Linked DNA regions of Caenorhabditis elegans. The protein of the gene in region 1 purifies or fractionates together with the protein of each later gene. This does not show direct contact. Each region holds a gene or a part of one and is shown on either strand. Other genes may lie near its edges.

Region 1 (4,108 bases):
TATTTTCGTTTATAAATCTAAATGTATTTTAACAGGTGGCCTCATCAAATCCATCACGATCACAATGAACACAAAGATCCGCGCTCAAGTCTTCCTGAACATCTGCCGGAATTTGCGTGATCAACTCGGAGGCTCCCTTCATGGTTTTGGAAGACTCCTGGAAACGATAACGCACAATTGGAAGTTCTCTGAACGTCGTATAATGGTAAAAGCTGCAATCATGATCGACGCTGATCTCCGTCCTTCGATTATCAAGGTTCTTACTGCTAAACCGGGCCAGTTGATAGGTCTCGAGATGAAAGTTCGTTCCGGGTTGACCCAACTCTTCCTCAACTTGAGTCAAGACATCGATGAAGCTTCTCCACAGGAGATTATCGAGTTTGGCTCCTGGTTGTCTGTTCTGATCCGAAACGTAATTGAAAAATATCAGGGAAAGTTCTATTACATCCTATTCGGACCAACAAGATCTTCAAGAATTGGCGAACGCGTCGACTGGGCGTATTTCTGTGAGGACGATTCAGATACCTTCACTTTGCGGAAGAGTGAGCCAAACTATAGGAAATTGCTGTCAACGTTGCTCAATGGAATCCGCGCTCTTCGCATCATGAATAATTCCAAGAGTTCGGACCAAATGTGGAGCGGGAAGAAACTTTATCAGCTTTTCCTCCGGATCATTGGTAATATTTTTTTTTTTAATATTTTTAATTTTTAATAGCTTTTTAATTTTCAGAAGTTTGCGAAGTACAAGGCTTTTGGTCTGAGACCTCATCTTCTATGGCGCTGGCCATTGATTCTTCAGGATTGCTCAGCGAATATCTTGTCACCTGTCTCGATCCTCGCCGCGACGACTATGAAACTCTCCAGAATGAAGCCGCGGAGATGGTGTGTCTCGTACGCAACCATCTTTATCGTTGGTCGGCTGCACCTGCCACGTTTCTCGCCGAACCACTGCACCACGCATTCAATCATCTTGCGCAACTCGATGGTCATTACGGTGAGCGGCGTTCTGTCATCTTTTCGGTGCGAGAAATAACGAATATTATTATTATTACAGACGGTTGCTACAAAGCTTTTCTCGAAAAGATTTGGAACGTTCAAAGTTCACGGTTGAAGGAAATGGTAAAGAACGCGACAAACACAACCGAGTGTTCTGAAAAGATCCGCGAAGAGCTCGACGGTCAGCTCTCAATGGCTCGCCTGTTGACGGATATATCAAACACAGTGGTTCTTCACCAAATAGGCTTCCAGCTTCCAAATGACCTAGCTGCTGAACTCGTCAATGATCCACTAGAAGAAGAGGAGCAGCTGGAATAAATCATGTTTTATCTGTCTAGAAAATTTTGAAAATAGCTTCCAACTGTAGAATTAGTTTTGTTTTTGTTTTCTTTTACTTTTACTTTCACTTTAATTTTAATTTTAATTGTTCAAATTTAAAGCTCCTTTCACTCCTTGTTCCATCTTTCTCATTCTGATAAAATCAGCGAAAACTAATTCACTTTATTGTTTACTACAGGGTTCAGCCCCCTGCCACCATTATTTGCCGGCCACTGGCCTTGAAAAACCTCTTCCATCATCGATTTTCACTCTTAAGAGAGTACTCTTCATTGTTTCGAAAGGTTTTCGTTTAAGCAAAAATGGATCCGGAATTGTTAAGGCAGCGAACTGCTTTCCAGAAGCATGCTGCAACAACGATGGCTGTTCAGAATAAGCCTGTGAGAACTTTAAAAATTAAAAAAATATTGAATTTATCGATTTTTTAAGACAACAGCACCAAATTCACACACAACATACTCTTCAGAAGCAGCAAAAGCGAAAAAGAAGAAAAGCTCTGGACCGGCTCAAAATTTGTCGAAACGTTAGTTGTTAAAATGTAATATTAGTTTCTGAAAACGGAATTTTCAGTCCCAGATTTCAATAATTCCGTGAGCAACGCCAATGCGTTATCAAATGCCACAAATTTCAGTACAATGGCGAAAATTGTGGATTATATGAAGGTATTTATATTTTAAAGCGAAATTTTCGAGTTAAAAACAGTTAATTGCAGAAACGCCACCTAAACAATCAACAATGGCCGTTGACACTTCAAGAAATTCTCGATGAACTTCAAATTTTTGATCTTTCAAAAAGAAGTCTTGCTTTCCTTCAAGAAGCATTACCAAACAATCCTCGACTGATAATGGAATCCGAAAAATTCGCATTTCGACCACCTTACAAAATTAAAGGAAAAACTTCGTTGGTAGCTGTCGCGAGGAAACATTATCAGGACGGAAAAGGTGGAATTCTTGTGTCGGATTTGGCTGAGTGTGTGGCTAATTATGATGCACTACTGCAGGTGGGAATTTGAATAATTTATAACAAAAATAAAGTTTTTATTTTTCAAAAATTTCAGCTAAAAATTAGTAAAATTGATTTTAAAATTATCAGCGGCTTATTTTTCGTAGTAATTAAAATTTGAGTTTGTGATGAATTAGATCTTTTAGAATTTCTGAGTATTCAACAATGTGTTTTTTTTTGATTTTCAAATTGAAATAAATTGAAAATTAAATATATAAATTCACAAAAAAGATAAAATGTGTTGAAAATTTATAAAATAAAATTCAGAAATTACTTTATTTTCAGACTTTTGAACAAATTAACGTTATTTTTCAATTTTTACACGAATAATTTTGATCATTTTCGATCCCATAAGTTAAATATTCCACAAAAAAACATTGAAATCGATAAAAAAAAGGTTTGAAAAAATATATTTAATAAAGTAAAAAAAAATTATTACACTTTTCCAGCATAAAACCTTTTTCCTTAAAAAATTTTCAAAGGAAAAACATTTTTGAAGGCAGAATATTCTCATTATAACTTTTCAAAAACTAGGGTATTTAGGGTTAATTTTGATTAAAAATCAGAATTTTTAAATTTGTCAAACTGAAAAAATCAAAGTATAAAAAAGGAGCAATTTTGTGAAATATTAAATTAAATTTTTCCAGCAAGTATCCTCTGAAGTGATCGTTGTTCCGACACAAGTCAATAAGAAAAAGGATCGAGTCGTCTTCTACAATGACAAAGAATTCACATTCCCAGAGCTCGAAGACGATTTCAAAGCCTTGTGGAGACACGTGTCTGTGGATCATTTGGATGAGAAGAAAATCGAAGAATATCTCCAGAAGAAGGGTCTCGACGCGATGAAGGATCTGACGCCGAAGGTTCGAATGCAGGCTCCACTGAAAAGAAAAGCCGCGAAGAGACGGTTCAATCAAAAAGTACAAAACGAGCATATGGACGGAGTTTTGGAGGATTACGAATGATTTTAATTACACACTTCTGTTAACAGTACATAAAATGAACTATGATCATTTGTATCTCTTCTGTCTCTTTTTCTTATCACTGCCCAGCCGTTTGTTTTCTTATTGTTTTCGGCAAATCGGTCACCTAGCCGAGCTTTGTCTCCTACTATTTCTTTTGAAGTTTCAAGTTATTTTTTGAAAAGTTTCTGAATTCAGATGTTTCTGAAAATCTTGCCACGAATCAGAAGACCAACTAGAAGCTACGCAGCAGTTCTTGCCGCCAGACATGAAGGATTTGCAAAAGTGATGCAGTCGGATTTAATGGCATTTGAGAATTTTCTCGGGCAAGATGCAGTGAAGAAGGACGATATTACAAATCATACTACAGATTGGACAGGCCAATTTAAAGGTATTTGTATTTTAAGATTAGGTTTATTTAATATTAAATAGGTACTTTAAATATTAAATGTTTTAATTTCCAGGTCCTGGCAGTGTCGTCCTCTACCCGAAGAGCACCGAAGAGGTTTCTGCAATATTGGCGTATTGCTCCAAGAACAAATTGGCAGTAGTCCCACAAGGAGGGAATACAGGACTCGTTGGTGGATCAATTCCAGTACATGATGAAGTTGTTATATCAATGAATAAAATCAACAAGCAATTCTCTTTCGACGACACAATGGGAATTCTCAAGTGTGATTCTGGTTTTATTCTGGAAGACTTGGACAACAAACTTGCAAAACTCGGATATATGATGCCTTTTGATCTCGGAGCCAAAGGATCCTGTCAGATTGGAGGAAATATTGCCACGTGTGCAGGAGGGATTCGGTTGA
Region 2 (4,988 bases), on another chromosome or scaffold:
TTTGATTTTTGTATTTTTGGAACACTTCATTTTTTCCATCGAAAAAAATATGAAAAGACAGAAAAAGCGAGGGAATTTTAAAAATTGTCTTTTTAGAATAAAAATTAGAGGAAAAAATTCTCCTCGTTTCAGACTATCTGGCTTTTTTTTCAAATTATTTTTGCAAAAAAATTCTTTCGAAAAACGTTAATAGAATAAATTCTGTTCAAAAATAACTGCAAAAAACAACACAGGTTAGTTAACAAATATATTTCCAGCGGAATCCAAAGAACGAGGTCTCGACAAGATTGTGTACTTCATCGGCTCAGCAATTGCTCCAACTTCCAACGGACCGTCTCTTCTCCATCACCAGCAGCTTCAGCAACTTCTTTTCCATGTCAGTAGTCGAAATTTTGGGTTTGAATTTAAATTTTCGAAATTTCCAGTTTGGCCGAAGTGTGCAGCTTCTTCTATCACAATCTCCATACCGTGATATTTCAATTCCATGGTCTCCATTCTACGCATCTGACTGGGATGCAGCTGACATGTTCCCAACATTCTTGCAAATGTTCGTCACGAAGCCCAATCTCCTTGCAACAATTAGCTCTCCGCATCAGGTATTTTTAGTCGAAAATTCTTGAAATGTCTGAATTTCTGTTTCAGATCACAAAGCAATCGTTGACCGAAGAGCACGCAAACTCGGTGGCTCTTACGATCTCACGAGCATCACTCTGGGAAACCTACCGTACCCTCTTCTGGTCGGACTTTGATCTGTCGATTTACGAGATGGAGGACAGGAAGCAAAAGTTCTGGCTGGATATGTACAAACAAATGTATGAGGAGTATTTCCCGTTCAAAAGAGCCAAAAATGACTATCAACCGTGCTCATTCACACCGATTTTTGCTCTTCAACCACATATGAGCATGTATTATAGGAAGCTGTGGGCTGAGGTGAGGTGGTTTTCCAGTGTTAGAAAATCATCAGAATTTTGATAAATACTTTTAAAAAAAATTATCTCAATTATTTCTGAAAATTGGCTCAATTTCCAGATGCTCGCCTTAGATATCCATGAGACATTTGACGAGGAAGACAATGAAGTGCAAACGGGAGAACGATTGAAAACGACAATATTGAATAGAGGAAGTGGAGATGTTGCGAAGGAATTGTTCAAAAGATTCCAGGTAGGGGAATCTTCTTTTTTTGACTGAAAAATTGGTGAAAAACGGCATTAAAATAAGCTGAAAATCTTAAATTCTGCATGGAAAAATCTCAAAAAATCGTATTTTTTTAAAATTAGAACGCTTTAATTGAACTCTATTTTTACAAGAAGAATTCTAAAAGAGTTCCAAACAATTACTTTCATTTTTTAAATTCCAGAAAAATGAAGCCATTATTTAATTTTTTTTAAAGAAAAATATTCATTTCCATTTTTTCAGGGCCGAAATCCATCAGTCGGAGCCATCTGTGATCACTACGCCCCACCAATGGCCATTCAAGATGAAATGGAAATGTCGGAGAATCAGAGACGATGAAAATTCCCCCCCGGTTTTTGGAGATTTTCCATCTCTTTTTCGCTTCTCACCGGGTTTTCACATATGTTTAGATGATTTTTTTTCTGTTTTTGTTATATTTTTTTGATAGTCTTAAGAAGAAATAGGGTCTCATAGATTGTTCTCTGTTATTTAATGTTTTTCCCCTCATTTTTAATTTTTGTTTTACTTCAGTAATGAATTCTTTTCTTTTTGAAAATTTATCGTTTTTTGAGATATCGTTTTCCAACGATTGAAATATTTTTGTTTTGAAATTGAAAAAAATGTTTATGTTTTTTATTTAACAGGAAAAAAATTGAATTTGTTTTTGAAAATTACCTTTTCCAGGACATTGTGTTATTTTTTTAAAACCAATTTTTGAAATTTTTACTTTTTTTTGGAAATTAAAAAAAAAACGATTATTCCATTTTTTTTTTGGATATTTTTGAGCTGAATTATTTTTAATTTAAATTTTGCTCACTTTTTTGAACAAAAATTATAATTTATTGATCAAAAATTAAAATTTATTCCAAAAACTAAATTTTTCCAGGCATGTCATCTGGCCCAGCGACCTCCGGCTCATCATCGGCTCACACCGAGACCCAAGTGGTGGATGAGGTAACATTTCCGCGAAAAAACCCACTAAATCTGACTAAAAACCGTCTTTTTCAGATTCCGGAGGCACTCAACACTATATTGCTGATGGTGGTAAAGAACTTCTTCTCAAGTGTAAGCGAAAAATCTGATTTTTCAAAAAATTCTTGAATTTTTAATTTTCCAGGAGCACTTTATCATCGTCTACCACATAATGCGAGCCCAGTGCATTCGCGAGGAAAATCTCAAAGCCCGAATACAATTCGATCAGAAAATGCTCAGACAGGTGTGCTGAAACTTGCTTGAAATTCGAAAATTCAAAAAATTTGACAATTTCAGCTCCTCGCGTCTCTGAAAGCTGAAAAACTCGTGAAAGAGCGCACGATTACGCAGAAAAACGAGAATAATCGAACGGTTTCCATCATTTTCTACTATATAAACTATCGGGCTGTGCTCAACGTGGTGCGCTACAAAATCGATCACATGAGGTGTGAAAATATAATTTTTTCACTGAAAGTTTAAAATTTTCCAGACAAAAACTCGAGTCCCGAGAGCAAATGGACACAAATCGAGCTCACTATCGATGTGGAGCGTGTCAGAGTTCTTATGATGTGAGAAAATTCTTTTAAAATAGAAGAATTCTCTGAAAAAATCATATTTAGATGCTGGAAATCAATCGGATATTGGACGCTGAAAGCGGGCGGCTTATTTGCTGGCGGTGCCACGGAGATGTGTTGGCGGATGAGACGGTAGTACCATCGAGGACGACGAGGTACTTGGAATATCCTGAAAATCTGAAAATTCGGAAATTTCTGGGTTCTGAAGCGAAAATTATTATGAATTCTGATCGAGCTCAAAGCGACGAATTGAAAAATTTTCAAATTGACAGATTTTTGAATTTGTTAAATTAAATCTACAGTACTCTAAAATTTTTTGCAATTTTGAGCTCCAAAAAATTGATGAAATTTTACTGTTTAGGGTCTCCTTTCAAAAAAAAACTTCGGGTTACTGTATCTGCATATATATTTTTTTTTATTTTTTAAATTTCCAGAACCGCTGTGGCACGCTTCAACGAACAAATGACACCGCTCTTCTCTCATATTTGTGCTCTAAACGGTATCCAATTGGCTCCGCATCTCCTTGAACCGGATATCACGAAATATTTGGAAGATGACAAAGAACTGCAACTACAGCAACAACAAATGGACTTTACGTCGGGTGGAGGTGGTGGTGGACGGATACAGTTGGGAGGAGTCGCTCATTCTTATCAAAATATCGCTTCGATCAATTATCAGAATGGAGATGCAGTTTTTGTGGATTTAAATGCGGATATTAATAAGTTAGTGGCCATAAGTAGAAAAATAAACTTTGATTCTTAATATTTCAGGGGTCCTGTGGAAGAAGCCAAAATTATGCCAGAATGGCTCAAGGATAATGCAATAGGCGGTGGTGAAGCTTCACACAATGAGCATGTACTGGATCAGGCCAAGTACTTTTAAATGGCTTAACTTTTATATTTCAACAATGAAACCTTTTTTCAGAACCGAGGAAGAAGAAACATCAACGAAACAGCGACGTTATGGACCATCTCTGGACTATCTGAAGGAGATTGAGTGCAGTTCGGAGGAATCTGCTCCAAATGTCAAAATTGAAGAGCCACCTGCCAAGCAAATAAAGATGGAAGTCGACGAGGAAGCTATCAAAATGGAAGTTGACAACGACGAAAGTGAGGAGGAAGACTTGATCCACGTGGCGGGGCGAGCACTTCCGCTGAGCCAAATCACACCTCGAATGGTCGAGAACGAGATGAGTGAGCTGGAGAAGGAGAGCTATTGCAGTGTTGTGCAGGATCTTTTTGCAATGTTCTTTTCTCAACAAATTGCTATTCATTAAGTCTCGGTTTTTTGAGATATTACCGCCAAAATTTAGTGATGTCTAGGATGGTATAGAGGATTGTTTACTCTCCAATTCTCCTAATACCGTCAAAATGACAAATTGCCTTGAAATTTTTATATTTTCCCCTACCATTCCCTCTAGTTTTTCACCTGTTTCATCATCATTTCATCACGGTTCAAATCCTTTTTTATTTTTTTTCTCGTTCCAGAAATTTACTATTGTTTTAAAAATAATATTATTATGATTGTGTTGTTTTACTCTCATCATTTTACACCATTTATTCGAGTACATTTCAAAAATGAAACTTTATTTCGCGAGATTGAGAAATCGAGTTTGAACGTTTGGTTATCATTTACAGATTTTCTTTGCCGTCATGATGGACTGGACGAGAGCGCAGACGCCAGGTGAGCTGGAAAAAAGCGATATTGACTGGCGGGAATTTAAATTTTCAAATGACAAACCTCGAAAGTGACCTCCTGTCCCGGTTTCACGGCATATCTCTTTGGATGCTTACGGATGATGTCCTCAATCTGTTTGCCGGCTTCCTGGAAGAGAAAATTAAAAAGTTAGGCCATTGACAGGAAAATATTGCATCGCCAATGTTTCTTTTAGGATTTTCAAGAAAATTCAGAAGGATCTAATAAATTACATTAGAAACTCGAAATTTTTGTTAAAGATCTTTAAAGATCTCAAAGCTTTGCATTAAAGATCTCAAAGCTTTGCATTCAAAAAATGCAACCACGCTCTAATGGTAAAGCGCGGGTTTGGAGATCAACCCCCAAGCGCGCTCTATCGCACTCTCACACCTCTTGAGCGGTTCCCTTGACATCAATGTACTTCGTATGATCATAGTTCGCGTAGTGACACGAGATCGCCTTTCTGAATCCCTCGGATCGATTGGCACCGGATCCATGGAACAAGCATGGATGGAAGAACACAGTGTCTCCAGCTTCCATCTCGACGTATTCACGTGGAAGTGACATGTCATA

What was found.
Region 2: the proteins of gtf-2E2 (region 1) and gtf-2E1 purify together in Caenorhabditis elegans (affinity purification with western blotting, with the first as the bait; one study listed by BioGRID). This does not show direct contact.

What each region holds. Positions count from the first base shown.
Region 1 is NC_003280.10:11,540,017-11,544,124, reverse strand, and holds gtf-2E2 (Transcription initiation factor IIE subunit beta), read left to right. Parts: upstream 1-1,629; 5' UTR 1,630-1,634; coding exon 1,635-1,712; intron 1,713-1,761; coding exon 1,762-1,855; intron 1,856-1,902; coding exon 1,903-1,994; intron 1,995-2,044; coding exon 2,045-2,332; intron 2,333-2,981; coding exon 2,982-3,299; 3' UTR 3,300-3,352; downstream 3,353-4,108. Other genes in the region: F54D5.9 (F-box domain-containing protein), read left to right, coding at 36-677, 731-994, 1,055-1,314; dhgd-1 (D-2-hydroxyglutarate dehydrogenase, mitochondrial), read left to right, coding at 3,495-3,687, 3,761-4,108.
Region 2 is NC_003282.8:17,253,242-17,258,229, forward strand, and holds gtf-2E1 (HTH TFE/IIEalpha-type domain-containing protein), read left to right. Parts: upstream 1-2,059; 5' UTR 2,060-2,061; coding exon 2,062-2,127; intron 2,128-2,181; coding exon 2,182-2,238; intron 2,239-2,290; coding exon 2,291-2,389; intron 2,390-2,442; coding exon 2,443-2,591; intron 2,592-2,635; coding exon 2,636-2,714; intron 2,715-2,765; coding exon 2,766-2,875; intron 2,876-3,154; coding exon 3,155-3,442; intron 3,443-3,490; coding exon 3,491-3,592; intron 3,593-3,644; coding exon 3,645-3,996; 3' UTR 3,997-4,321; downstream 4,322-4,988. Other genes in the region: eelo-2 (Peptidase M3A/M3B catalytic domain-containing protein), read left to right, coding at 258-376, 426-596, 643-930, 1,030-1,161, 1,417-1,512; phyh-1 (phytanoyl-CoA dioxygenase), read right to left, coding at 4,352-4,408, 4,461-4,544, 4,806-4,988.